Linked DNA regions of Xenopus tropicalis. The protein of the gene in region 7 interacts with the protein of the main gene of each other region in a biochemical or structural test. Links are inferred from orthologs where the notes say so. Each region holds a gene or a part of one and is shown on either strand. Other genes may lie near its edges.

Region 1 (4,011 bases), on a different chromosome or scaffold from region 7:
TTATACCCAGGCCAATTTTAATGCCAGTGTATCTTGGTTGCTTGTTAAAACTATCCAACTTCAAGCAAGAAACACGTTTACATGTAGTTGGGGGGGTTACCACTGAGCTTTCCTAACTTTTCCTACACTTTTCTAGTATTTATGCCTGTTTACATACAAGGTCCCTTCGACCCTGGAAAAATATACTGTAATTACCAATAAATCAGCCTGAATGGATATTAAATTAATATATCAACTCCTACTGCCTTGTGCATGCTGAGATTTGGTAACTGAATGCAATCCAACTATGGCCTCAAGCAGACCTCCAAATTCCAGGCAACTTCAAATGACTGCTTAAAGAGGACTGAATCAAACAGTACTAAAAAGCACACAGATTTTTTTCATCCGGACATACCTGTTCAGGGTCAAAGGCAAACGCCTTTGACCCTGACCTGTGTGCTCACAAACTACTTTAACAGTCACTGACTATCTAGGTTAGAGAAATGCAAAGGAGGAAGTTAAATTCTATTATGTTAGACATCTGCTCATGCCAGCCTTTCTTATTACATTTTTTCCCAACTGACTGTATTAAAAACATTTATTTACATTTTTGCATAGTCTGTTTGTTAAAAAAGTTAGCCAAAAAAAGTAATATATAGAGGCTGGAGTGAAAAGATGTATTAAATAAACACCAGAAAACTACTAACTCCTTTGCTTCTCTCTAACCTGTTAGCTAGTCAGCGACTGTCCAGTTAGTTTGACTTTGACCATGAGCAGGCAGGTCAGGATTAAAAGCACACAAACTGAACAGTGATGTCCCATGTGGCCCCCCTTCTAGTTGCTAACAGTTTAGAGTGATGCAAAGCAGGAAGCTAGATTCAGGCTATTACATTAGACATCCGCTCACCCCATCCTTTATAGATTACATTTTTAGCGAACCATAGTAAAAACATTTTTTTTTTTTTTTTATTTTGCACAGCCTATTCAGCCAGTGTTATTTTTACTTTGAACAGTTCCTTTAAGTATTGATTTATTCTCACTGTCTAATTTATGATAACTATAACCTTGGTTTGTGTTTATGACATGTAGAGCACTGTGTACATTGAAGCGATACAATGTGTAAATTCAATAAGATAAGAGGCAATTCTGGGTGTTCTATGAACTCCCAAGATAGATCAGGAGACTATGGCAATCACACAACTTTGAAGTTTAGAAACATCATCCGAGCCAGAAACATGGGTTTAGCTTACACAACATTTGGGTGAGGGAGACATACTACTCTTGCTCTAAATACATTACGGCAACTCAACATCACATGACTGACTGGCATAGTTATCACAATTCTCATGCCTTTACATATGACCTTACAAAGTTACAGTAAATAAAGGTTATACCCCACAAGTTAATATACTGCTATGGTGCTAAAATATGTGCATATCCTATGCCACAAACGACATGGAAGCAACTGAATATATTTTAACCCTGCTGAACGTGGCTCCTGTATGGATCAATAAACTGTCACCTATGTGAAAACGTATTTTTAACTGCCACCCTACAAAAGTTCCAGGACTATCTAATACACTTCTATTGTAAGCTCTTTTGGGCAGGGCTCTCCACCTTTTGTATTGGTTATTGATTGCTTTATATGTTACTCTGTATGTCCAATGTATGAAACCTACTTATTATACAGCGCTGCGGAATATGTTGGCGCTTTATACATAAATGTTAATGATAATAATAATAATCACCCCTGAGTTAGTATCACTAACATTTCCCACTCCCTGCAAATAGTGTCCTGACTAAATATTACGATCACAGAAAAAGTATGGTACAAATGTTTAGCAATGCTTAAACAAATTCTATGTATGTATATATACATACACACAGAATAATAGTTGTAAGTGGAGAATACATACATGAATGTGGTACATTGCTAGTTATAATCAGTTAAACAGAAATAACCGATATGAGAGGCCTTGGTGTGTGGGGCTGCCATTACACTCACAGCAGCCTGGCACTCGGCTCAGTATAAAAGCTGAAGCAAACAGGGAAGCAGCAGAAACTTAGGAAGTCTCGCACAAAATGGCGACGCAGAAGGTCCAGGAAGGGCAAACATTAGTACAGATGGGAAACAAATTAGTGTTGGAGTTGGAATGAAAACAACATTTGTTTAGTGGCGGCCCCTCCGGCTGTTAGCACACTCAGCCCCACAGCAGCCTCCACTGCTGCCCGGACTAACACAAGCGGCGTTGGCAGGCAGGCCCTGTGCTTCTCTGCTCAACCTGTGGCTCAGATCTACAACTCTGCCCTATGGAATCAATAGCTCATTCATTGCAATGGCCTGACTAAAGGAAAGGGTGTGAGGCCAGGGGTCTCGGACAGCGGAACAGCAGGTCAGAGGGCGCACACAGAGGCGGAGCACCCACCTTTTCTTGTCGCTCGCTACTACAGATCCCTCCATGCCAAGCGAGTGGGGGAGGGACGCTCCGGAGCTGTGTCAAGCGCCGAGGGTTTTGTCCTATGCACGCAGAAACCGAGGGCCCTACTGAAAGGGCTATTGTAATCCACAGGCGTGAGGCGCTCGCAAGGTCAGACCCCGACAACACCGGCAGGAACTCTTTTTTGACGCAATCCCTCCGCTCAATCCGACCGTACGATCGCGGTGTTTCTTTTTTTTCTCCCGGTTCGGCCGATGACTTCTAACTCAACGCAAACAAAACGCTTCGGGGAAAGTGCTTGCGTCACCGAGTGGGTGTGCAGTTCGAGCTGCCGCCGACGTAGATCGCAGCAGCCAATCAGTAGGCTCACACATGACCGAGCCCTCGGCGGCTTTGCCCTGCCCACTTTTCCCTGGTCTCGGTGGGAGGGGGGCGGAGGCCGATTTGTCGGATGAGCCTTAACCCACTCATGCCCAGTGCCAATAAATTTAATGTATAACTTTACAATGCAATGTCTGCTGCAAATAAGGGATTATATATTAAAATATTGTCCTTCCACTTTTGAGAACTCGTGTTGTCCTGACGTTTTTGTCTGAAAAAGTTTATTTGCACTGCTGACTAACTGCAGGAAAAGGATTGTCGTTGTAGAACTAGGATTTCAAAACTGCTCTTAAATGTCCGGTTTACTGGCAGTAGTGGGTGCGTGGTACAAATGGCATGCTGCTTTGCTGGGCTGAGTCCATATTAGACATTTTGTGCATCTGGGCCTCATTACAAGGTTCCGTTTCTCAGCCTGAAAACTATAGGCCTGCTGGTTTGACATCGACTAGCAAAGCTTTTGGAAGGGGTAATAAGGGAAAGAATACTTGAATGCAAAAAACAGTACGTTTTTGCCAGCATGGTTTTATACAGATCTTGACTAACTTAATTGCCTTTTATGAGGAGGTGAGCAGGAACTTCTACTCTGGAATGGCTGTGGATGTCATTTACTTGGACTTTGCTAAAGTGTTTGATACAGTACCACACAAAAAGTTAATGATAAAATTGAGGAATATTGGCCTAGAACATAATATTTGTAATTGGATAGAGAACTGGCTGAAGGATAGATTTACAAAGAGTGGTGGTAAATGGAACATTTTCTAATTGGGCCAGTGTGGTTAGTGGAGTACCGCAGGGGTCAGTCCTTGGTCCTTTGCTTTTTAACTTGTTTATTAATGACCTGGAGGAGGGCATAGACGGTACTGTTTCTATTTTTGCTGATAATACTAAATTGTGCAAAACACATGCAGGATGCAGGATCCTGCCACTTTGTAGAGTGATTTGATAAAATTGGAAAACCAGGCAGCAAAATGGAAAATGAGGTAGATAACAAGTTGTTTAATTCCAGGCAGTGTCATTCTGTGGCTACTAAAGCAAATAAAGTGCTGTCTTGTATAATAAAGAGAATTGACTCAAGGGATGATGCAGTCCTTAAGAAGGATATTAATGAGCTGGAGAGAGTGCAGAGACTGCAACTAAACTGGTAAAGGGGATGGAAGATTTAAGCTATGAGGTGAGACTGTTGAAGTTGGGGTTGTATTTTCTGGAAAAGAGG
Region 2 (3,939 bases), on a different chromosome or scaffold from region 7:
GCTTGGCGATGTAGTGATGGGATTCTGAAGGTAACTGAGAGAGCTTGTTCCTGAGTGGACAGGTATGGAAACAGGAAAATTGAAGACTGTGGTAGTGGATGTTCCTCGGTCTAGAACAGATATTGTAGGGCTACCTGCTTCTGCTGAACATGATGGTGCTAGCACTTGAGACTCAAACTGAAGAAGCTGTCCCATAAAACTGAAGTTTGGGGAGATTATACTTCTCCGTTGCTTGACAAACTCAAATGCTTCATCCAGCTTCACACGGTTGGTTCTCATAAGATAGGCAAGACAGATGGTAGCAGATCGGGATATACCAGCTTGGCAGTGGACAAAAACCCTTCCACCGGAATTTTTTACTGAGTCTGGGAAAAAACAAAACAAAGGTTATTTTTGGGAGAACTTGTAAAAGATCTGCAACATGATAACTAAAATTCTTTTCATTTCTCCTACAGCTAAAACTGCAATTATTTTTTAGTCAAACCTCAGAGCTACATGAGCACATACAATACTAAAAACAGAGGTCTTGCATACAAGCCTGAGATTCCACAGATGAACTAGTCCTATTAACCTATTTACAGAAGAAAGTATTAAGGAGTAGGTGTTTATGTGTTGAAACGTGTATGTAAAAAAATATACCAAATATTTAAATACATGTTTAATAGAAGTTTAATAAACACATATTAAATATATGTGAATGAATGTAGTCCAAGATTGTGAAGAAACCATACTGGTAATTGGTTTTACCCACTAGGGGGCAATCTAACTCTCCCTAAGATTACAGCTGACCACTGAAAACATTAGAAAGTAAGAAACTGAATGTTAATGCATAGCACGTAATAATAATATTGCTACACAATAATATTGCTGCACTTTTGAGGAATGGTCTTCTATATATTGACAAGACAAAAGTGAGTTTCGTCTTACCTATGAAATCAATAGCTTCATTGAACCACGAACTGATGTCTGCTTTGTGACTGTCTTCCACGGGAATGCTCTTGTACTGAAAGTGTCCCTCAAAGTGATTGGGACAGTTTGCTGATACATTGATGAGGGCTGTAATGCCAAGGGCGTCCAGCATGTCTTTTCTTGATGCATGGTATGCACTGCCCAAATACAGGAAAGGCAGAATCTCCACTGGTCCCCCCTAAAATACATAAGCAAAAACAATATGGTAAATATAAGAACCACTAAGTAAATAATGTTTTGTTTCATTTATATACACAGGGATTGGCGAGTGCAGCTAGATTGTGCCAGTTTTATCCACTGCCCAGGCATTATAGAACTGTTACACTCATGTCTGACTTTTACATTCAGTTAAGGAATTTCTTTTGTAAAATTCTAGTTTATGAATTACACATTTCCTATATGGCTGTATGCTAAAGAGTAGCTATGCACTGCCAGTTTTCATTGTTCTGGGATAAAAACAAAACAAAGATCTTTATCAGCAATGCGTGTTGGTAAATATTCAGTGAATAGCCTGGACAGAGATTGTGAGGGGGGAATTTTTACCAGTTTTTGCCATTTAGAGAATGGCAGGATTAACGAATAGAATAAATACTAACCTGGTCATAGAGTGGAGTTCCGCAAGGAGTGCAATTGGAGTCAGCACTGCCTGGCACATTGCTGGTACTAAGAGGCAAACTCAGGCAAACTGGAGGAGAGCTTTTGTTGCAGAATTCTGGGCACTGTGAAGAAAATGTCTCATAGCCACCTGAAATACACAATAACATGCGAATGGTTAGATATGTACACAGAAGTTGAACAGAGGCTGTAATTGCATGATTTGTTACACATTGCCCTTTAAGCACTTGTTTTCTAAGTGGCCACATTGATCAAACACCTAACTTGCCTTACTTGTGATAATGTCACCCAAGTGCAAGCTCTGAGAATGGGACAAATCTGAATTGCAGCTAAATGACTAAATTCAGGGTGGTAGGTAGGGGTCATACTGCACTAAGTGCATTTGTGAACACAAGCCTCACTCAGCAGCCACAGGGAGATACAGAGTTGCCACTGAAGTGCACAAAATGTTACATATAAACACTGTCAGTGTCAGGACTGGACTTTGATATGGAGGGCCCCTGAGCACTGGAGGAAGGCTGGGTCCTGATCTGAGGGAAATTCAACAACAGGCTGGCCACCCCTGACGTTTAAAGTAGAAGTACCCAACAATACACATTTATCGGTGAGAAGTGGAGCTTAATGTACCTTTTAGGAAGTAGATGCTGCTGCCCCTGGAGTCCCTACATAGGGCATTAACTGCCAGCATCATGGTACTGTCCTTCCTTAGCATGTCCAGCTCTGATGTCCTCTCATCCAGCAGCACCACCGCCTCGTACATCCCAGCCAGCAGCCGGCACCTCTGCTCCTCATTGGGGACGATGTGCTCCAAGCCCATGCTGCCTTTAGCTCTCCTCTTCACTATGGTGCTCAGGCGAACATTGCTGGAGCCAATGATGTTGGAGGAGCTGAAGGAGAAGAACGACCTACAGTCCAATATGAGGCATTTGTGGGCTCTCTCAGCTAACAGTCCTTTCAACACGCAGCAATCCATAGCGCAGATTTCCATATTGACCATAGTTAATGTGCCGAACAATCCTCAACAATAGGCTGCTCCACTCTCCCGCTTCTTTTACGCTCCGGCGCCTCTTTGATCCAATAAAAGCTTATTAACTGTTAAAAAAATAAATACTGCTTTGATCTAAACGTTTTATCTAAAACAAGCCAGACTTTAAAGTTGTGTTTCTTGGTTCCTTCTTGTTTCTTACGGTTACTTAAAGTTGATGTTTCCTTGCTGGCTTGAATTCTTGCTAGAGCTCGGCTAGCTAGCCTCCTATTTATACAGGGCAATGGGAGTTGTTTTATGAATGGTTTGTATCACGTGGGTCGGTGACTTCAGCGAGTCTAGCCACGCCCCTCCTGGCAAACCCCGCCAAGTAGATTAACGTCATCAGAGCCTTAGCAGCAAAGTCAAACACTCTATACACACAAACGCTTCAGAGCTGTCATGTTGCCAGAGCAGGAAATAAACTGCTGTAACCTTAACCCGTCAGAAGGAGCTCAGTGGAGCCCTCAGGATTTTATTTAAATAAGAGGCACGAAGTGTTCTCAGTATTTTTTGTAATACATCACAAACTGATGAATTTTTATTCATCACTGATTTATTCTAATTTTTTTTTTGCTTATTCGTGTGTACTACTTTTTCATTGGTGTGATGTCATACGTGAATGCTCTGTTTGGAATGAAGTTAACACCACAGCTTCCATATTCTATAATCAGTTTCTATTTCACTTTTGGTGATCAAGATTTGTTACTGTGGAATGTTAAGAATTACGTCCCGATATGAGGCAATTTACCCCCACCCCCCAAATAAACTCAGTTCTGGATTTATGATGATTAGGTCCTGCTCAGTACCAGTTTCACAGAGAATAAAACTATTTGCAGATGGTACTTATCATTCATGCGATTTTTCTGATTAACATTCTTAAAATACTTTTGAAAGCCCTTTGTTTGGTCCTCTGGTTTGCTAACGATTTGCTGTAAAATATGTGGGTTAATCCACTGAGCTTTGGAAAGATGGAAAAGGCATTTGATCTTTTCACCATATCCAGCACATCCATAATTATTATCTTCTAAAGAAGGCATCTGACAGAGTGGGGGGGGGGGGGGGGGGGGGCAATATAATAGCAGAATAGCATACACTACACACACGAGTTTACAGCTTGGAGACCCATCCAATAAACCTTTAGTTTTCAGCAATTCTTGTGAGCCAAGGCCTGCAAAAAGTACTTAACCACACAAAGAATTGATTTTATTAATCAAGATTTTGCAATAGAGGCAGGCTGGATTGAAAATGAGCTCTATGGCTGGGAGTGGATGCTCAGCCTCAGACCGCTGTTTTTTTGCATCAGAAATAATCAGAATTGAGTATCAGCT
Region 3 (4,293 bases), on a different chromosome or scaffold from region 7:
ATTTAGCACCCAAGATGCTGCCAAAATTCTTATTCACTCTCTTATCATATCTCGCCTGGACTAGTGTAACTCTCTGCTTATTGGCCTTCCCCTTCAGAGACTGTCCCCTCTCCAGTCCATAATGAATACTGCTGCCAGGCTCATACACCTCTCCAACCCCTCCTGCTCTGCCGTGCCACTCTGCCAATCCCTGCACTGGCTTCCCCTACCATCCAGGATAAAATTTAAACTAAGTCAGCTCAGTGGCAGACACATGGAGCAGATTTTGGCACTAAAATACGTAAGTATTTCTGCAACAAAATATACAAATATCCGTGTTGAACTTTAGTTCTGTTCCTGAGTACTTGCACTCACTTATAAGCAGTTCCATTCTGTGGGGCCCAATGTTTTTTTACCTCATGAGGCAACATTGGGCGACTACTACTTCTTACTACTACATTCTCACTGGCAGGAAAGCATTCAAGGAGATTAGTTGCCACAGTTAAGGCCCCCATACACGGGCCGATAGAAGCTGCCGATATCTGTCCCTTGGACCGATTCGGCAGCTAATCGGCCCGTGTATGGGCAGAAACGAGCGGCCTGGCCGACCTATATCTTGCCTGAAATTGGCCAGATATCGATCGGCCAGGTTAGAAAATCCAGTCGGATCGGGGACCGCATTGGCTCGTTGATGCGGTCCCCGAACCGACTGCCCCATGGCCGCAACTGTAATCCGATCGTTTGGCTTTTTTTTTTTTTTTTTTTAAAGCAACTTGCTACCCGATATCGCCCTCCCGTAGGTGGGGATATTGGGTAAAGATCCGCTCGCTTGGCGATGATCTTATAGTGTATGGGGACCTTTAGTTGAGATCAATTGCAGGGCAACTAATCTCATGTCACTTGCCCAAGACACAGTCCAGAATGAGCACTCACATAACTGCACCAATACAGCACAGGTTTTTCATTCTATTATAACATATAGTACAATATTATTTCACTTCCTTAACAGCTTGTCTAATAACATTTCCTTATTAGCTAGTTGCACCTTTCACAACGAAACTAAATTACTCCTTTATTTTCTTCTTAAAACCCAAAGAACTGAATAAGTAACACTACAGCGGCGTTTCTCTTGCTAACACCGTCCCTTTTTATTTCATGGGCTTCCCAGCAGCAGCAGAGCAGTGGCAACACCTCACTGAATGTCCCCCGTAGGCGTGCTCCTAAATAAACCACACAAGGCGGGCCCCTATGCAAATACAACATCCCCTGATCACTGACGTCGTATCACACCACAGCTTGTCAAGCTCGCTCATTCGTCCGGGGCGTCTGGTCTCATTGACAACAAAACATCCAGCACGCGTTTGTACAAGGCAAAGAGGCGGGGCATTCCGCTTACTCCCGCGTCAGGCGGCCCAGTTCTGTCAGGGTGGGGGAGGGGCGGGGTGCGTTTCACGCCTCTTTGTGGATCCATTCTGGGCTTCTAACCATGGCACTGAAACGAGGTTTGGAAGACATAGGATTGACGTCATGTAGTGTGGAGGGAGGTGGTGCCCAAACATGGCGTCAGTTTTGTCAGTGACAGGTTCGTGAGGTTCAGTAATAGGGAACCAAGAACCGGCTCCTTTCGGGAGCGCTAGGGTTGTCACAGCCCGGGATATCATATGGAACTAAACATGGAAAATATGGAGACGCTGACGGAACTCGGAGATGAGCTCACCCTAGGGGATATTGACGGTAAGAGTGGAACTGAACGGATCTTTCTGCAGGGGGGTGCGGCTCGAAAACATTTCTGTAGTTTGGGAAATAGTAACAGCGTAGCTAGCCTGCTGCTGTCAAAGAGGGGTTGCTGGGAGTTGTAGTTTTACACAGCTCTAGCGGTTTAGGGGACTAGCCGTGTCATTCCTGATATCCAGTACTTTTTGTCCTTATGTTGGGCCCCCATTTCATTGCAGTGTGTGGAATCCATTGAGTAATCACGCCTTTTCTGAGAATATGATTACAAATTCCAGAAGGAAATAATTCATCATTAACTTGTTAGGGTTGTGTTGGCTGTGTTGTTATATACCTTGTTATATACCTTGCCGGATTAAGGTTAGTTACAGGCATTGCGCCTGGTCTGGGCCACTTGGGCTGGAAAGGTTTGGGGGGGAAGGAGATGCAAGTCTATGTAGGACTGTATATTTACTGTATATTTACTGCATTGATGCTTTAATGGCTAGGGCATCTGTACCATATATATATATATAATATAGCAAGAACAAACGGAGCACACCCTATAGAAGTTCAAATGCCCAGGGTGCTAGCAAAAAATATAAAGCAAGAAAGTAAGCTGCACACACCAGGACTTGACAAAAAATAAATTTATTTAAGAAAAGAGATCCAACGTTTCGAGCACTCACTGTGCTCTTCCTCAGGGAAAAAAAAGCTACATCCATAACTGAGTAGCTGCTTTTATCCTATGTCCATACACTCTTTTCTTCTATTAGATTGTATTTGTGGGTAAAGGTTCTGCTTTCCTGTGACCTGTCCTTTTCTAGCATTCTGTGTGATTTGGGTATTTTATTTTAATTAATTTCCCAAACCAAGAAGGCTGACCTGTTTATGTAGGTTGCTAAGTATTACGTAACCACCCCCTTTTCCTCCTGCTTTACTCTGAGATGAAGATCATTTGCATCTGAAACCTAATGACGTTTGTCATTTGCTCATAATGAATTTAGTTTCTGGACATGAATTGGACTAAAATGTCACATTTTGTTATAAAGGCAACAAATCAGTTAAGCAAAAGTGCCAATCATCTTGCATTCTTTATAATAGAATGCCTTACCGTCCCCTAGATTTATAGCCTTCATTTCAGGCTTAAGCAACAGGGATAGCAGCTGCTGGTGTTTGAGGAATAAGCATCATGACTGATACCCAGTTTCAGTATATGTGTGTGGTACCTTGTCTTTCCAAAGTATTTAATGGAGTCCTAAAAAGATTTTACTGCAGGTCCAATAACAATGTATTTTTCTGCTGAAAACATAAATCAAGTGCTGTTTAGATATAGAGTTAAACAAAGCTTGGGTCTCAGTATTTTACTGCACTTACCTTGATGTTTGGTTGGTTTTTAGGGCAGGTGATGCTGAAGTCTATGGGGCTGATTCACTAATCCACAAATCCGAATCCCGAATGGGAAAAAATCGGATTGGAAACAAACATTTTGCGATTTTTCGTAAATTGTTGCGACTTTTTCGTAGCCATTACGACTTGCTCGTAAATTGTCGCAACTTTTTCATAGCCATTACGACTTGCTCGTATATTGTCGTGACTTTTTCGTATTGAGCGCTCGTAAACGGCGGGCAAACCTTTGCGACTTTGCATGATTTTGGAAGCCTCCCATAGGACTCAATGGCACTCTGCAGCTCCAACCTGGCCCAAGGAAAGTCACCCATAGGGCTCAATGGCACTCTGCAGCTCCAACCCAGCCCAAGGAAAGTCTCCCATAGGGCTCAATGGCACTCTGCAGCTCCAACCTGGCCCAAGGAAAGTCACCCATAGGGCTCAATGGCACTCTGCAGCTCCAACCTGGCCCAAGGAAAGTCACCCATAGGGCTCAATGGCACTCTGCAGCTCCAACCCAGCCCAAGGAAAGTCTCCCATAGGGCTCAATGGCACTCTGCAGCTCCAACCTGGCCCAAGGAAAGTCACCCATAGGGCTCAATGGCACTCTGCAGCTCCAACCTGGCCCAAGGAAAGTCTCCCATAGGGCTCAATGGCACTCTGCAGCTCCAACCTGTCCCAAGGAAAGTCTCCCATAGGGCTCAATGGCACTCTGCAGCTCCAACCCAGCCCAAGGAATGTCTCCCATAGGGCTCAATGGCACTCTGCAGCTCCAACCTGGCCCAAGGAAAGTCTCCCATAGTGCTCAATGGCACTCTGCAGCTCCAACCCGGCCCAAGGAAAGTCTCCCATAGGGCTCAACGGCACTCTGCAGCTCCAACCCGGCCCAAGGAAAGTCACGATACTGAAGCTTGAATGATTCCGAAACTTTCATACTCGGCACGACGGCTACGAAAAAGTCGCTACAATTTACGAGCAAGTAGTAATGGCTACGAAAAAGTCGCGACAATTTACGAGCAAGTCGTAATGGCTACGAAAAAGTCGCGTCAATTTACGAAAAAATCGCGAAATACCGACCATTACAAAAAAAACACGTTCGGGCGCTTTTCGGACGTTCGTGGATAGGTAAATGTGCCCCTATGTATTAACACTGAAAGCAGATATGCAGTGGATAGAAATAAATACAGGCAAAGAACAGAAATTGTTTTTGTGCAT
Region 4 (4,099 bases), on a different chromosome or scaffold from region 7:
GTCTTGTGTGTTATGATACTGGATGGGGGTGGCAACTGTGTTAGAAGAGCCCAAACCTGTGCATATGCAGTACAGAACTTTTCCCAATTTCTGTACTGCACATGTAAGCTCTACGGGGCAAGGACCTCCTTCCTACTGTGTCTCATACCACACAGCACTTATTCCCTGTGGATTACAACCTGGGTGCAAATCAGATAAACAATGTAAATGTGTAAAAAATGCTGATGCACACCAGGAAAATTTAATCAAAAAAAGATACTTCATACCCTTGTGGCGCTTTATAAATAAAGTTATACATACATACATACATACATACATACATGAGCCTAGCTTCAATATTACAAGGGATGCCTGAAACACAAAAAACAAGACGGTGGCATAGGTGTCTAGCAACTACAATAACTGGGGGGGGCATCCCAAACAACCTGACAGCCCCAGTGATTTTTTTTTTTTAAATGCCAGATTGTAAGTAAAAGAAGTAGTATTGGGGAAATGTTTTTCTTAAAGGCCTTAAACAGTGTCACATATCTATTAGCCCTACAAAAAATGTGTTATTTCTTTCAGATCAGCTCTTTTCTCACCATAGTTGTTTATTTTGACTGTGTACGTGCTTGTCATTGGAGGAACAATTGCTGATGGTTTTTGGGTTTCCATAGATTCCCCTGCTTGTTGCTGCTGTTTGGTAGATATTTCTGTCTCCAGCTTACGCTGCTCAACAAATAACACATCCCGCACACGTTTCCTTGTGGCTTTCTCAAGCAGCTGTTTCACCTCTTCCAAGTCTTTCTGAAGCTGAATAATAAATTGCTTTGGTTAATACATAGCGTTATAAATAGACAGCATACAGTCTTATTACTTAATTAAGAATATTGGGAAAACATCAAAATGCCAGTAATCAACAAGAGCCAACATGCTCTGGGAAAATAAAACAGTCATACCTATATCAGTCTTGGGGATATGGCACGTACACTTAGATTGTAAGCTCTACAGGACAGGGACCCCCTTCTGCTTGCACTTAATCTTTAATAAACCTTTACTATGTATTTATAAATGACACATTTGTTCTATTTATGTATTGTTCTGCTGTACAATGCTGCATGCAAAAGTAGTGCTATATAAATAAAAATATCCCATAGTGTTGGTGACATGGACTCCTTAAATGAGCTTAATTTCAGATACATTTGCTTAAATGGTTGCTGTAGGTAAGAGAAAAGTTTACAACAGTTTCCATTAAGGTGGCCATACACGCACCGATATTATCGTACGAAACCTCGTTTCGTACGATAATCGGTGCGTGTATGGCATGTCGGCGAGTCGACCGATATCGCCATAGAAGGCGCCTGACCAAAATTCTCCCTTCAGAGCTGAATCGGCAGAAGGAGGTAGAAATCCTATTGTTTCTACCTCCTTACCTGCCGATTCAGCCCTGAATGGTGTGTGGCGGATCTTACGATGTTTCGTGCGACCGATGGTCGTACGAAACATCGTCAGATCGCCACGTGTATGGCCACCTTTAGTTTTGCTTTCACTTTTATATCCGTAAGACTGCAAAGCAGAGGGAAGACAGGAAAGGCACAGATACATTTATATTTGCCAGACTTAAGATCTTTCCTACATCGTCAATACACTACAAACTGCAATAAAATTCAGCCAAAGAAGGCATTAAAACTAATCTGTTCTATGTGATAAGGTGGCACAGCAGCATATATACAAACAAATACAGGCTTGTGCAGCCCTAATCATTTTTTCAAGCCCCACAACATGAACAAATTGAGCAGCAGCTTGGCACATTTCATGCAATTTTCATGTGAGCAATTCACAAAACAAAAAGTGTTAAAGGTACAGTATACCCCCTTTATCAACATTGCTGCAATAAATAGGACTTGTGCAAAACATTTTGCCTTTCAGTTAGGCAAAACTTTTAAAATTACAATAAAGCCACATTTTACTTTCTGATTCTAAGAATCAATTCCAAACAAACCAGCAGTCCACCGAGGAGCCTTTGTATAATGAGCTGCTTTTTATCCAAAAAAATAACAGGCTGTTTCTGGGGGACAGGAGGGGTTTGTTTATACAGAATCTTCTCAGTGGGCTGCTGGTTATTTGATTTGATCCTTGGGATCGGAGAGTAGAATGTGGCTTCAGTTTCATTTTCTAATTTTTCTGTTTTAAGAGCAAGAAATAACAAAATCTATATATATATATTATCTAATGAAAAGGACAAGACAAATGTTCAGTACAAAACCTATTTATTTAACCAATGTGGAAAAAGAGGGGTATTCTATCCCAATAGTGCAGAGTTTAGATGGGGGGGGGAGAAAGAAGTTAACAAACTGCGCCCACCCCAAGGGTTTGTCATAAGAATCAATAACTGTGTGCCCAGAGACCCTACTGATTTTTTTGCAACTAATAACCTAATGGGAAAAATAAGCATAACTGTAACTGGTGCCCCCTATTATTTATTCCTTATTTTATAGGAACAGGAAATCTGGGGGCCCTGCTGGTACTATGAAACGTATTACCCATGATTAACCCAATCGCTGCCCCAAGAGAACACTATACATAAACACAGCGTTTTAGCCAAGCAGAACTTAGTGACATCCACAGAGCCACGCAGAACAATGCTCTCATTAACATGTTGCGGACAGTAAGTCAGTTGCTCATTAGGTGCGACCATCGAGCCCTCTCACCTCCTGTAGAACGGATTCCATTTCTGGACCAGACGCACAGATACTACGATGCACACACCTTGCTCCCAGGCACTACTAGGCACACACCTTACTCACAGCATGGATTCTCTGGAACCTTCCGCAGCGACTCGTGACGTTAGCAACACGCCCCTTTCCCGGCCCCAGCCTTCCCCCTAGCCAATGCCCAGCCTTCCCCCTAGCCAATGCTCAGCCTTTCCTCTAGCCAATGCCCAGCCTTCCCCCTAGCCAATGCTCAGCCTTTCCCCCAGCCAATGCCCAGCCTTTCCCCTAGCCAATGCCCAGCCCACCTATATTGCGTAAGACAAAGCTCTATGCCTACGAGCGACAACCGTCTGTTCTTGCGTAGTTGGCCCGTTCAGCAGAGAGAAAGCAATGCTGGCATATATCTGTGACCTGTCATAGTCATGACTCCGGCATCTAGCTTTATAAATTCTTTTTATAAGGAGGTAACTTAAGATAAATTGAGGATTTCTGCAGTAAATAGAAGCTTTGTGGAAGTCTGGTGTTATTATTATTGCAAGTGTCCGACTGAGATGCCAGGGGCCCACCAGAAAACCTTGGACTATAGGCCCCCTTTTTTTTAAAGATTACTGCTCCTCTGCTGGCTTAACCTATTTATTATACAAGTTTCTTTGCTGTAGCCTTCCATCTCTTTTTCCCATACAGAAATAGGGAATGACCATGCAATTGGCTAAATAGAAGCAAGAAGGCCCACTGACACCTGGACCCACTGGGAGTTTTCCTAGTATCCTTGTGGACCAGTCCAACACTGATTATTGCAGCCAGACATTTTTGAGTAATCTGTTTTGTAGCAAGAACTCCTGTCAGAATGGCTTGAAATGTCTTTGTGGGTACCTAGAGTATATAGGTTGCAGTGCTGAGAATGATGGGATGAAACTAATGGCAGCAGACCCTGTGGTTGCAAGGGGGCCAGAACCACAGGGTCTGCAGTACTATAGTCTCCCCAGCCCATCTCCTACCTTAAAATATTGTGGGAGTGGGGCAATGTGAGAGGGTCAGGAGGTGGTGGAGGGACTGGTCTCCCTGGGCCCCTTTAGAAGATTTTTTTTTGCAGGGGGGCCTGGAGCAGCCAAGTTATGCCACTGGATGGAACTAGAAATGATTTGTATAGGTTAATCTGAAACCCTAATTCAACCAACAGGGAAATACTGTAATATCACCTTTTATTTTGATGAGAAACTACCTGTCTTGGTGTACAACAAACAGTATCTCTAGAATATGCCCTTGAGACAGGAGTGACTCATGATGTCAAGATTTTTTTCTGAGAACCTCCAGCAAAACACAGTACAGAAACCTTAAAGGAACAGTAACATCAAAAAATTAAAGTGTTTTAAAGTAATTCAAATATAATGTGCTGTTGCTCTGCA
Region 5 (4,259 bases), on a different chromosome or scaffold from region 7:
CTACACAAAACCTTTACATAGGCGTCCTTATGCACAGCATGAATGCACAGGCGTGCAAACTAATGCAGTGGTCAATAGAGGAAACCATCCTAGATTTGTAACTAAGTCGTTCTAGTCCTTCCAGTGATTCCATTGTTTACTCTTACTGATTGTTCCTGTTTAACTCAGCTTGAATCCTACTTCTTTGGCTTCTCTCTTTGATCACCTCACTGCCCACTCTCCACAGCACTCCTCCTTGTATTCAATCTCGGGTTAGCTTGTGTTATTTTAAGGATCAATTTTATGCTTTACCTACTAGCAAGCTTTTTAACTTGTTTATTAATGACCTGGAGGTGGGCATAGACAGTACTGTTTCTATTTTTGCTGATGACACAAAATTGTGCAAAACTATAAGTTCCATGCAGGATGCTGCCGCTTTGCAGAGCGATTTGACAAAATTGGAAAACTGGGCAGCAAACTGGAAAATGAGGTTCAATGTTGATAAGTGCAAAGTTATGCACTTTGGTAGAAATAATATAAACGCAAACTATCTACTGAATGGTAGTGTGTTGGGGGTATCCTTAATGGAGAAGGATCTAGGGGTTTTTGTTGATAACAAGTTGTCTAATGCCAGGCAGTGTCATTCTGTGGCTACTAAAGCAAATAAAGTGCTGTCTTGTATAAAAAAGGGCATTGACTCAAGGGATGAGAACATAATTTTGCCCCTTTATAGGTCCCTGGTAAGGCCTCACCTTGAGTATGCGGTGCAGTTTTGGGCTCCAGTCCTTAAGAGGGATATTAATGAGCTGGAGAGAGTGCAGAGACGTGCAACTAAACTGGTTAAGGGGATGGAAGATTTAAACTATGAGGTGAGACTGTCGAGGTTGAGGTTGTTTTCTCTGGAAAAGAGGCGCTTGCGAGGGGACATGATTACTCTGTACAAGTACATTAGAGGGGATTATAGGCAGTTGGGGGATGTTCTTTTTTCCCATAAAAACAATCAGCGCACCAGAGGCCCCCCCTTTAGATTAGAGGAACAGAGCTTCCATTTGAAGCAGCGTAGGTGGTTTTTCACGGTGAGGGCAGTGAGGTTGTGGAATGCCCTTCCTAGTGATGTGGTAATGGCAGATTCTGTTAATGCCTTTAAGAGGGGCCTGGATGAGTTCTTGATCAATCAGAATATCCAAGGCTATTGTGATACTAATATCTACAGTCAGTACTAGTGGTTGTATTTATAGTTTATGTATGTGAGTGTATAGATTGGGAGGTGTGCTGGGTTTACTTGGATGGGTTGAACTTGATGGACACTGGTCTTTTTTCAACCCTATGTAACTAACTATAAGTGTGACAGCTTCAGGGTTTCTGAATAACAGATCCCTTACCCTGTATATACAATTAAACATCTGCAGTCTGGGGAATGTATGGCCATCTTTAATTTTATGCTAACTTTTAGCTATTGAGGAGGGCAAGCAGCACAAGAGTTTGTGGCATTCTGCTTGTGCAAATGTTGCGACCCTTTAATACAGTTCCTCATGTTATGGTGACCCCCAACCATAAAATGATTCCTAAGACCATCGGAAATATGTGTTTTCCGATAGTCTTAGGTACCCCTGTGAAAGGGTCGTTCGACCCCCAAAGGGGTCCTGACCCACAAGTTGAGAACCGCTGCTTTAAAGAAAATAATTTCATGGTATTCCTGTTGGCGTGTTTTACAGTGATACAAATAATCAGAATCTCCGACTGTTCTATGAGGATTCCCAAAATCAAAATATACTCCCCCTAGGTTCTCTGCCTAAACCTGTATTCCCCCCCCCCCCTATTTCCTTTAACCATACACAAATGTAACTTACGCATCACCCACGTAAATTTTGGGAAACACCTCGTTGAAATGTTCTGATGGAAAGCAGTAACCGCCATCTTCTTCTGCTAGCAGATCATTTAGAGCCTGAACAGAGACCTCATAACCAGACATGGCCAAGTGGGTGAAGCTTTCTTTGCAGCTTAGAGCCCTCCGAACTTTTGCAGGGCAACAAAAAGAAAAAAAAAACCCACATCAGGGGGTTTAAAGATATGAATATTGTTCCCTCCCATCCCAACTGTCCCGATTTTCGCGGGACAGTCCCTCATTTGACAGCTCAACCCACAGTCCTGGATTCTTACTCATTTCCTTTTGATCCCCTGCACTGAATGCCAAAAAAGATACAAAGTTTCTGAAACTTAATTAGATAAGTAGCTTTTGGCAGAGAGCCCAGAATACTCAACACCTGCACTGAGAAACAATTGTAACTAATAAGCTAAACAGGTCTCTTGGGGAAACTGAGACTTGCAGCTTAATGGGCAATTTCAGCTTTTTTAACCAAACACATAAAACAAGACCCCAAAATCCCCAGAAATGTGTTCAAACTTTAAATAACCTGCCAAATTTAGTTAAATGGGAGTGTTATTTAGGGGGCGTGGTCACAAAAATAGGCGTGGCCAAAACATTTGTCCCTCTTTCCCTTTTCAAAATGTTGGGAGGTATGTCCCCCACAAAAAAACCCCACTCAACACCCCCCAAAAATTAAGCCTACAAAAAAAACTTAGTACACTTACAAAAAAAAACCCCTCAGCACACAAAAAGCTGCCCCCAATTCCCTCAACATATTAAGGGCAACACACCTCAGAAAGATGAGATCTGCAAATATAAACTGCTCTGTAACCCCCTCTCTGTGTAAAAGCTGCAGCGTCCGGGCAGTACTACCCGCTAGTCACACCGCGGCGGCGCTTTACGGCCCAATACACTGCCCCATGTGACGGTGACGCTGCGCCCATAGGCAAGTGACTTGATGAGAGGCCGGCCCGCTGCTAGGAACTAGCGGTAACCTTTAAAGCATGGTGTAAAATTCCGGAAACGCACAGAAAATGAACCGGAAACTGATGTTCGCCACGAGTGTGAAACACGGACTATTTGGTGAGTGGAATGCGGTGTTATTAACATGTTCCTCTGGGGAAACATTTTACGTTGCAGTTGGAAACTAGGGCACAGCCCTGCATAGTTTTCTTTTCCGTGAAAGGGTCGTGTAGAAATAACGCAGTGTCGTAAAATTCGGAAAGCACAAGCATGTTAGTATTTGTGTCCGCAGGCAGCTCACTGGGACGCACAGCCGGGCTGTATGGCTGCAGAGCTGGGGGTGTTGTTCTAGTGTATGTATCCCCTTATTTACTGTGTTCCCTTCACTTCAGGCCTGCCTGAAAGCAATACCACTCTCTTTTGCCTGATAGTCATCATTCGTTAGTGTTGCAGGTATAACAGTGAGTAATACAGTATCCTGTACCCCCAGAGGTGCTCAGACAGTATTATCTATCAGGCAAAACTTTTGTTTCCTGCCTTTATTGCTCCACCTGCCCAGCAGGATCTGTGGCATTTTCACTGCAGCTGCACAAAACCTTCTCTGGGACAAGATTTACGTAAAGAAGATGATAAATGGGAACATATTGTGTGAAAAGCAATATTGTGCCAATAAATTGTCCTCACAGGGTCGGACTGAGGGGTGCAGGGCCCACTGGGGCTGGTGCCCCCACTGTCCCCCCGCAGGGGCCCCCCTAACACCCCCCTGCATGGTCCCCCACCCGACAAGTTTAACGCGTCGGGAGGAACTGTCCAGCGCACGCATAAGTTTAACGCGTCAGGGGAGGAACTGTCCTGCGCACGCATAAGTGTAACGCGTCAGGGGAGGAACTGTCCTGCGCACGCATAAGTGTAACGCGTCAGGGGAGGAACTGTCCTGCGCACGCATAAGTGTAACGCGTCAGGGGAGGAACTGTCCTGCGCACGCATAAGTGTAATGCGTCAGGGGAGGAACTGTCCTGCGCACGCATAAGTGTAATGCGTCAGGGGAGGAACTGTCCTGCGCACGCATAAGTGTAACGCGTCAGGGGAGGAACTGTCCTGCGCACGCATAAGTGTAACGCGTCAGGGGAGGAACTGTCCTGCGCACGCATAAGTGTAACGCGTCAGGGGAGGAACTGTCCTGCGCACGCATAAGTGTAACGCGTCAGGGGAGGAACTGTCCTGCGCACGCATAAGTGTAACGCGTCAGGGGAGGAACTGTCCAGCGCACGCATAAGTGTAACGCGTCAGGGGAGGAACTGTCCTGCGCACGCATAAGTGTAACGCGTCAGGGGAGGAACTGTCCTGCGCACGCATAAGTGTAACGCGTCAGGGAAGGAACTGTCCAGCGCACGCATAAGTGTAACGCGTCAGGGGAGGAACTGTCCAGCGCACGCATAAGTGTAACGCG
Region 6 (4,125 bases), on a different chromosome or scaffold from region 7:
TAACAGATAAACATATACGGATTATTCAGTTCCATACTTTGTTTACTTAGTTGATCCCTCAGATTCTGACACTCCTGAGATTCAGTCACAAGTCGTTCCTGGCACTGAGCCAGCCTTTTCTCAATTTCAAAGTATTGTTGATCTAAAAAAATATATATTTATTGTTTTTTTTGAAAGGTGTATTTTATCATTTAACTCAAACACAAAACATAAAAGCAGCGCATCTGACAATACAATGGGATAAAATGCAAGTATTTAATTTTCCAGTTCAAATTATACAATTGCAATATACATAATCTCCAGGGTTCATTACAGGCATTAAAAGGATGGGTATAACAGTACAGATTGTAAACCTGGCAGTAGTTTGTGTATTAGGTCCATCAACCAACTAAACTAGGTACTCAGGTTGTGTCAAAAGAAGTGGGGAGGCTTGGGTCCCGGAGTCATGAGATGTATATGGGTATGAAACTCCTCAGTTACCCTTCAAATCACACCAGGGACCAATAAACTGTCAAATTTATCCAATGCACCCATAGTCTGATACAGGAGGTATGTATAGAGGAATGACCGTGTTCACCAAATTCTTCCAGGCTGTAATGGTGGGCAAAGTAGGGCCCAGCCAGGGCATTCCACTTTTTTTTTTGCATAAAACAGCAGTATTCTGTAGGGCAGCCGGGAGGTATTTCGAGCAATTATACTATCTAAGATTCCTTAACAGACAGGTTTCAGTTGTGTTCACGGTAGGGAAAGCTAGTTAGTCCTTCTGTCCAGAACCTTACAATATGATGTGATGAAAAGATCATTTCAAATTTTTTGCGTTTTTCAATGGATCTTCTAACTGGAAAAAGGACAGCTGCCCACTGACTTCTACATGCCCTCAACAGCATTTAGATGGCGTATCTTTATTTAAGGATTGGTCCCAGTCTTGATGCAATGGTGAAAAAATTACCTTTTTTCCCCCACATAAGTTTTAGCGCAAAAAACATTGGGGGTGGGGGGAAATATTAATGTTAGTAAATGCCCCCTTTGTGTTTGCAATATAACATGATCATTTAACATGATACCATTTCTATTGTTTCATTTTAAAGTGCAAAATTCACACATCCGATATTTGATAAAATATAAATGGTCCCTGTGCCAAAGTAAGCCTGTCTTGAGGAACCATTTATCGCTATAAACTGCACTGGTTAGGGTGGCTAGATAATTCCTAATCCATTTTCAGGGTCTAACAGAATTCTGAAGATCCTTGCTACACAGCTTGCTGGGGAAATCATATAAGTCAGGGATGCCCAAACTTCAGATCTAAAGGGAAAATACACACCTTTTTGAAATGAGCTTATTTAGCTGGGCTTATGAAGAAAAAGTGCATGAACACAGACTGAACTTCCATAAATATAAATTTACTTATAGCGATATTATGTATGTGCTTTTTGGGACCAGTTCCCAAACCCTTAGACCAACGATCTCCAGCCAGTGGCTCGTGAGCAACATGTTGCTCATCACCCTCTTTGATGTTGCTCCCCGTGGCCTAAAAACAGGTGCTCATTAGTTTAATTTGCCCTGGAGACATAGAGACCATGGGTACTACCAAACAGAGCCTCCTGTACTCTGCCCCTCCACATATTGGCTACAAAATAACCAATTACAGGCTCACGCCCAGGAACTTTTTTTATATTTAAATATTGCTCACGGGTTAAAAAGGTTGGGGGCCGCTTCCCTTAGACCAGGGGTGGACAAACTACGGCCCGCGGGCCACATCCGGCCCCTTGGCCTTTTTAATCCGGCCCGCCGCCAAGTCTCATCACGCGAGACTTGGCGTCATTGGCGGGCCGGAATTAAACAGACTAAGGGGGCGTAACGCTGGCCTGGTCCTGCCCTGGTCTGGTCTGGGGGTAAGTAAATGTGGCCCGTGAGCCAAAAAGTTTGCCCACCCCTGCCTTAGACTCACAGTGGAAAGCAAACCACTTCTTTTACCATAGTGAGGGACTCTGGATCTCAAAGCTCCTCTGCTTTCCAGATAATTGGTGCATCACCCTACATAAAAAACAGGGACATCAAGTTCCAAAAGCAATAACTTGACAATGGAACAATGTTGCAATACACTGTCAGTCTAATGGGGAGAAGGAACTGTTCCCTTTGACATTCATATTTATTTTTGGAAACTTAGATACGGTTTATGTACCATTTATACATAAACTGACGCCAGAAAGTTGGAAAACCTTATCTGCTAAGAAGCCCCGGAGATGCTGAAAGCAGAGCAATTGCCCCTTCTGCCCATAGCCCCACAGATGCCTGTGCCCAGAGGGAAAGGTATAAAAGTAGCCACTAGCTTTATTGCTTGTGCTTTGCATAGACCACCGGGGGCAAAAAACGTGCACAGACAAATTGTAGCCATATAGATCTATGCACCGCATGGGCCATTCTGCCTGCAATTCCCCACATGAGAATCGATAACCTGCCAGAAACCGAACGCTCGCATGTCCGTACCGCAATCCACCCGGAACTTCTCGTGTCGGGCTTTCACGGATTCCATTTCGGCTTGTTGCTCCGATAAAAAGCGTTCCAGTTTCGTCTGCGCAGCCTTGGGCAGCTTGGCCAGTTCAGCCCTCTCCAGCACTTGCTGCAGAACAGCCGCCATGTTGCCGGCAGCGTGAGCTGGTAAGGGAAATGCGCTGCCACTGATACTGCCACAGAAGATACCCACCGGAGGGGGGAAACGCACAGATCGCTGGGAACTGAGGATTTCTTTAAGGCGCCACGGGCTGACGCATAATTATGACGACAGCCTTTCCAAGCCTAGAGGTTCTTGGGAAAATATAGCACCCAAGGGTGTCGCGATGTGATGACGTCAATGGAATTCGCAATTTCTTCAGAAACAGCGATTATCTTTGAGTAGGGAAAAACTACTGAGTACAAGTCTAAAATGGTTTCTGAAGTTCACAGTCACCACTTCGCTAGTTGTCCGTGCTACTTTGTTTTACAGCGCCAATAGTCTTTATATTTTAGAAGAGTTGTTTGACCAAAACAAAAATGGCTACTGGGAAGAGGGTGCGTATGATTGTGAGTCAGAGGGAAAGGCGACTTTTGATTGGGGGGCAATTTCTACAGCCCAGTCAGCAGTGTGGCTGGGAGAGAGAGGTAAGGGACGCTTAGCTGCTATTTGTACAGAAGTGAGGCTAAACAGATAGCATTTGGTTTGTTATAGCAATCGGGGGTGAAAATCTGGATTCATAACAGCAGTTTCCAGATTCCTGGAGAGAAAATGCAGACCTGTTGCTTGTAGCACCTTTCATTATCTGCGTTGAGCTACTGTAGCGAACAGTTGTTGGACTTAATAAAGCAGCTGTCACGGTCCCTTGGTTACATGGCTTTGGTGAATTGGGGGTGAGCAAAAAGAATAAACTGGCTATTGCTCAATATAAACATCTAACCTATAATATTTACTGCCTTATTTTGATGTGCTCACTGGTGCACCAACAAACAAACAAAAAAATGGGCTTTTTACCTACAGTCTTCAAGCAGTGCTGCAAGGCATCTACCCCTTTAGCCTTGCACAAAGTTGTTTGTCAGAAATATCTCATTTATAATCCACTTGTGCTGTAATAAAGATATTGCATCCACCACAACCTATCCTGGCAGGGTATTCCACAACCTCACTGCCCTTACAGTGAAAGTTCAGTTCCTCAAATCTAAACAGGTAGCATTTTTATGGGAGAAAAGATCCCCTATTATCTGTCTATAATGCCCCAGAATGCACTTGTGAAGAGTAATCATTCCCCCTTTTAATTCACATTTTTTCCAGAGAATTCAACTCCAGCTTTCACAGTCATATTTTAATTCTTCCATCCCTTTTATGTTAGGTTACACGTCTCAGCACTCTTTCCAGGATATTTAAGGAGACCTGTCACCCTAAGAAATAATGCCAAATTATATTCTATCATACTAGTTGAGCAAAATATACTTACATTATATAAATTATTTTAATTTTGCTTCCTTCAGTCTTGGACTTCACAGTCACAGCAAGCAAGCACCATTTTTTGGACACTGTTATAAGGGAAATAATCATCCCCAGAATCGTGTGTATGTGCCAGAATGGGGGGACCTAATGGACATGCCCATGCACTG
Region 7 (3,500 bases):
GATTTGCAGGTCGGCTTGGAGAAGTGAGAGGTCAGTTTTCACCTCCTCAAGCTTGGAGGATAAAGCTACTCGGCTGTCTGTTAGCTGCAAGGACAAGCTGGATTGCTTGTTCCTGTAGAGGAAACGGGGCATGGGCCTCTTTGTCCTCTCTGGGTGGGGTAGTGCCGCCATCTTGTGTAGGCTGTCAAAAAAACTGTCCCAGTTTGGCAGCGGCTTCTGCTCATGATATTTGTGCCTTGTTGCCACCCATAATCTATATGAAGTCAGATGTTGTATCGTGGCTCAAATGTTGGTGTGTAAGGTCGCCTAGAGAGGCAAATTCAGGATAGTTGCGATAGAGCTCACAGGCACATGTCCACTCAGGAAGCCATGCAGGCCACGCCCCCCCTTAAATCTCTTTTAATTCGTTTACAAACCCCTTGTTAACCAACATTTCATGCTGAACATGTAGAGCACCTTGATTCCCCCCAAAGCTAGAATTTCTTTGACAACATATCAGTAGGGAGAATTGGGAGCTAACTGATCTTTTTCTATTAAGTGCCCCATGAATCAATTGTGCAGGTAAGTATTTGCCTGGCTTATGGTTTATAAAAGATAGTTTAGAAGACACAGTGCAATATAAAAATGCCCTATTCTGCAGGCAGGTTTGAACTGACAAGTGGAGAGACTGCAAATTAATGCACTTTGTGGTAAACTCCAATGCAGATGTTTTTAGGCTTTACTTACTCTAAAGGAGAAGAAAAGCTACTCAGGCATTTTATTGCCAATAGATTAGTCACAATAGTTTGAGCTGGAATACTATATTTATTCTTCAGAACTCTTTATGATACCTGAGTAAACAGCCCTAGAAGAGCCCTCTGTTTGTTTAAGCTGCTGCCATTTTAGCTTGGTGTGACGTCACTTCCTAGCAGCAGCGTACAGGCAGGGAACAGCTCTCAACTAAGATTACAGTACAGAGGCAAGGGAGAGAGAGCAGAAGGGAGGGCAAGAGGAGCAAACTGAGCAGACTTATGCTGTGTCCTAAAGGATTTTTCCAAGAGAAGGAAGTCTGACACAGAATATCATGTATACAGAATAGAAGGAAAGAAATTAATTTTTTTTCACCGAGGACTCAGAGAAGCAGTTCTGCAAGTGTTTATGGCTGTATCTACATAGACCTTTCTTAAAAAGCTTACTTTTTACCTTTCCTTCTCCTTTAATATGGTAGCTACAATATTATAGCCAACACTGGCTATATGCTTAAAACTGTAAATCTTTCTAATGGTCACAGTAAAAAATATTTCAGTACGCTGGATAACATTAACACAAAGCAAAATATAGGAATAAACAAAAGGATCAATCTACTGTATAGTCAGATTCAAAATACACAAACTTGTATTACCGCTTCTTTCAGCCTACTCAGTTGAATCAATGTTCAAACCTGCTTAATGGATCTTTGTAAACGACCAGTATATTGATTTTAAAAACAGCAGAAGTAGACTAATAGTAAACCTTCTATTAAATATAATTTGCATCATAAAGTAAGTATTAGAGAACACATTACTGACAAAGCTTAGCTCCTGGTTTGACTATATCAGACAGTAGGAAATTATTGTCCCTGATGCATTTAATTTATGAAAAACCATCAATCTCTTACTAATTCTGACGACTGTTTTAACAGAGCACTTAATGCAACCAATAGGTTGAAACAAGTGGCATACAGTTTAAAAATATATTATTCCTTGGAACAGTAAAATCTTTCCCTTTCATCCCCACCCCCAACCAAAAAATGAATTCAAATTACCTTTAGGATCTGCATTAGGGAAAAGTCTGTTCCATGGCACCTTATTTTTGTGAGGAAGGGAAAGCAAGTAATTCCTAGCTTTTAAATTGATTATACAGTTTAGGTCCTCTTGAGATGGAGATCCAAGAATTCCTGAAAAATACGGAACAGTTAACTTAAACATACAATTATAAGACACAGCAACCATGAAAATCATGTAAATTATATTCTTAGAAATGGTTGTTAGTAATGTAATCAGTTATAACAAGTGCTTACTAATGCAATTTGTGTCACGTGACTGCATGAAACATGATAAAATATACCCCTTCTTTAATATGAGGGTCAAGTCAGAGGTCCATGACCTAAATGACCTTTATCCTTGTGCCTTTATATGGTCATAGAACCCCTCGTTGCTTCTAATATATTATATTTATGAAAGCTAGACTCCTTTTAAGCTGGGTGCCAAAAAGTGGTCTGCAATACAATACTGTCCAATAAAGGTGGACCGCAATACAATATCAGTGTTGCTATAAATTTTACCAAGCAGGAGTCAGTGCCTATAATGATAACCTACTGCTGTTCTTTATGGTCTCATTGACCCTCGCAAGCAATGGAATAAATGGAACCATGTTTATATAGATTACGGATTGGGTTGGAGAAAAAAAGACAAAGACCAAAGTCCATCAAGTTGAACCCCTCTGCACATATATACACACACTTTATACCGATCTATGCACGTATATACGCACGTAGCTATAAACTATATAGCTGGAGCAGGAACAGACTGCCTGTGACATTGCAAAGCCCTGCCCACCCTATGCATATTCACTGCACTTTAAGTAGCTGCTGCTCTGTTACTGAAGTCTATCAGGGCCCCAGCCACATACTGAAGAGTCTAAACCGGAAGCTTGCAAAAGGACTGGGTAGAGCACAGTTTTCAAGCAGTTATGGGCATATTTGAACCAAAAGGTATTAAAATAAACGCACTTACTTCTATTTGACATTATTTTACATGGTTGAGTGCATTGTAAAAATGTATAGTATTTGTCCCCTTTAACAGAATCTGCCATCATAAATTCACTCAGCAGGGTATTCCACAACCGCACTGCCCTCGCCATGAAAAATTTCCTACTCTGTTCCAAAGTTCTGTTCCTCTAATCTAAAGAGGTAACCTCTGGTGCATATGAAAATCAGAACAATTATGAAATGACCACAGCATCTATTCTCATAAACAGAGGATTCCGAGCTGCCACCAAAAAGTTCTGGCAGCTTCTGCTGAACTAGGGAGTCAAAAGCATGTTGACTGAGAACCTACTCACCTACAGTTTAACAGCTAAGAAAGACTGCCCACTTTTTCTGGATTCTGGAAAGTAAACTGCCAAAAGGGTACTATGTCAAAAGCAATGCTATGTCCCATGTGAAGATCAGTACTGTCTCACGGCCAGCTGGTTTTGGTGCCTTCCTAATGAATCAAGCAAGCTGCCGTTGTGGCACATCCAAACCTAATCCACACACACACCTAGCTGGGGAAGGAGGTTCGCTGTACCAATGGCTGTTGCACTGCTTGGAATTCTAGAATATAGAAGTAGCTTCATTTGCTGAGGAGACCACAATGAATAAGGCACAACTAGGGCTAAAAACTCTCAACTTACATCACCTTTTTATACATACTGGGAACCTCTATCGGGGAGATTCTTTCCCGATATGCCTAACCGAGGTGACCGATATTGGGCTGAAC

Evidence for each region.
Region 1: of the proteins of mapk1 (region 7) and hif1a, one has a biochemical effect on the other in vitro, tested with the Homo sapiens proteins (3 studies listed by BioGRID). The link is inferred for Xenopus tropicalis from reciprocal best matches to the Homo sapiens genes MAPK1 and HIF1A.
Region 2: of the proteins of mapk1 (region 7) and dusp1, one has a biochemical effect on the other in vitro, tested with the Homo sapiens proteins (2 studies listed by BioGRID and IntAct). The link is inferred for Xenopus tropicalis from reciprocal best matches to the Homo sapiens genes MAPK1 and DUSP1.
Region 3: of the proteins of mapk1 (region 7) and srebf2, one has a biochemical effect on the other in vitro, tested with the Homo sapiens proteins (2 studies listed by BioGRID). The link is inferred for Xenopus tropicalis from reciprocal best matches to the Homo sapiens genes MAPK1 and SREBF2.
Region 4: of the proteins of mapk1 (region 7) and cacybp, one has a biochemical effect on the other in vitro, tested with the Homo sapiens proteins (2 studies listed by BioGRID). The link is inferred for Xenopus tropicalis from reciprocal best matches to the Homo sapiens genes MAPK1 and CACYBP.
Region 5: of the proteins of mapk1 (region 7) and dusp3, one has a biochemical effect on the other in vitro, tested with the Homo sapiens proteins (2 studies listed by BioGRID and IntAct). The link is inferred for Xenopus tropicalis from reciprocal best matches to the Homo sapiens genes MAPK1 and DUSP3.
Region 6: of the proteins of mapk1 (region 7) and tpr, one has a biochemical effect on the other in vitro, tested with the Homo sapiens proteins (2 studies listed by BioGRID). The link is inferred for Xenopus tropicalis from reciprocal best matches to the Homo sapiens genes MAPK1 and TPR.

What each region holds. Positions count from the first base shown.
Region 1 is NC_030684.2:101,985,074-101,989,084, forward strand, and holds the start of hif1a (hypoxia-inducible factor 1-alpha), read right to left. Parts: upstream 2,801-4,011; 5' UTR 2,441-2,800; coding exon 2,406-2,440; intron 1-2,405.
Region 2 is NC_030679.2:41,976,985-41,980,923, forward strand, and holds the start of dusp1 (dual specificity protein phosphatase 1), read right to left. Parts: upstream 2,801-3,939; 5' UTR 2,582-2,800; coding exon 2,212-2,581; intron 1,715-2,211; coding exon 1,566-1,714; intron 1,148-1,565; coding exon 928-1,147; intron 366-927; coding exon 1-365. UniProt on the Homo sapiens protein: Dual specificity phosphatase that dephosphorylates MAP kinase MAPK1/ERK2 on both 'Thr-183' and 'Tyr-185', regulating its activity during the meiotic cell cycle.
Region 3 is NC_030680.2:120,124,212-120,128,504, forward strand, and holds the start of srebf2 (sterol regulatory element-binding protein 2), read left to right. Parts: upstream 1-1,493; 5' UTR 1,494-1,640; coding exon 1,641-1,713; intron 1,714-4,293.
Region 4 is NC_030680.2:98,106,954-98,111,052, reverse strand, and holds the start of cacybp (calcyclin-binding protein), read right to left. Parts: upstream 2,801-4,099; 5' UTR 2,712-2,800; coding exon 2,691-2,711; intron 793-2,690; coding exon 582-792; intron 1-581. UniProt on the Homo sapiens protein: May be involved in calcium-dependent ubiquitination and subsequent proteasomal degradation of target proteins. Probably serves as a molecular bridge in ubiquitin E3 complexes. Participates in the ubiquitin-mediated degradation of beta-catenin (CTNNB1).
Region 5 is NC_030686.2:31,704,126-31,708,384, forward strand, and holds the start of dusp3 (dual specificity protein phosphatase 3), read right to left. Parts: upstream 2,801-4,259; 5' UTR 2,638-2,800; intron 1,996-2,637; 5' UTR 1,952-1,995; coding exon 1,830-1,951; intron 1-1,829. UniProt on the Homo sapiens protein: Shows activity both for tyrosine-protein phosphate and serine-protein phosphate, but displays a strong preference toward phosphotyrosines. Specifically dephosphorylates and inactivates ERK1 and ERK2.
Region 6 is NC_030680.2:119,711,629-119,715,753, reverse strand, and holds the start of tpr (nucleoprotein TPR), read right to left. Parts: upstream 2,801-4,125; 5' UTR 2,639-2,800; coding exon 2,488-2,638; intron 143-2,487; coding exon 38-142; intron 1-37.
Region 7 is NC_030677.2:154,036,574-154,040,073, reverse strand, and holds part of mapk1 (mitogen-activated protein kinase 1), read right to left. Parts: intron 1,916-3,500; coding exon 1,784-1,915; intron 1-1,783. UniProt on the Homo sapiens protein: Serine/threonine kinase which acts as an essential component of the MAP kinase signal transduction pathway. MAPK1/ERK2 and MAPK3/ERK1 are the 2 MAPKs which play an important role in the MAPK/ERK cascade.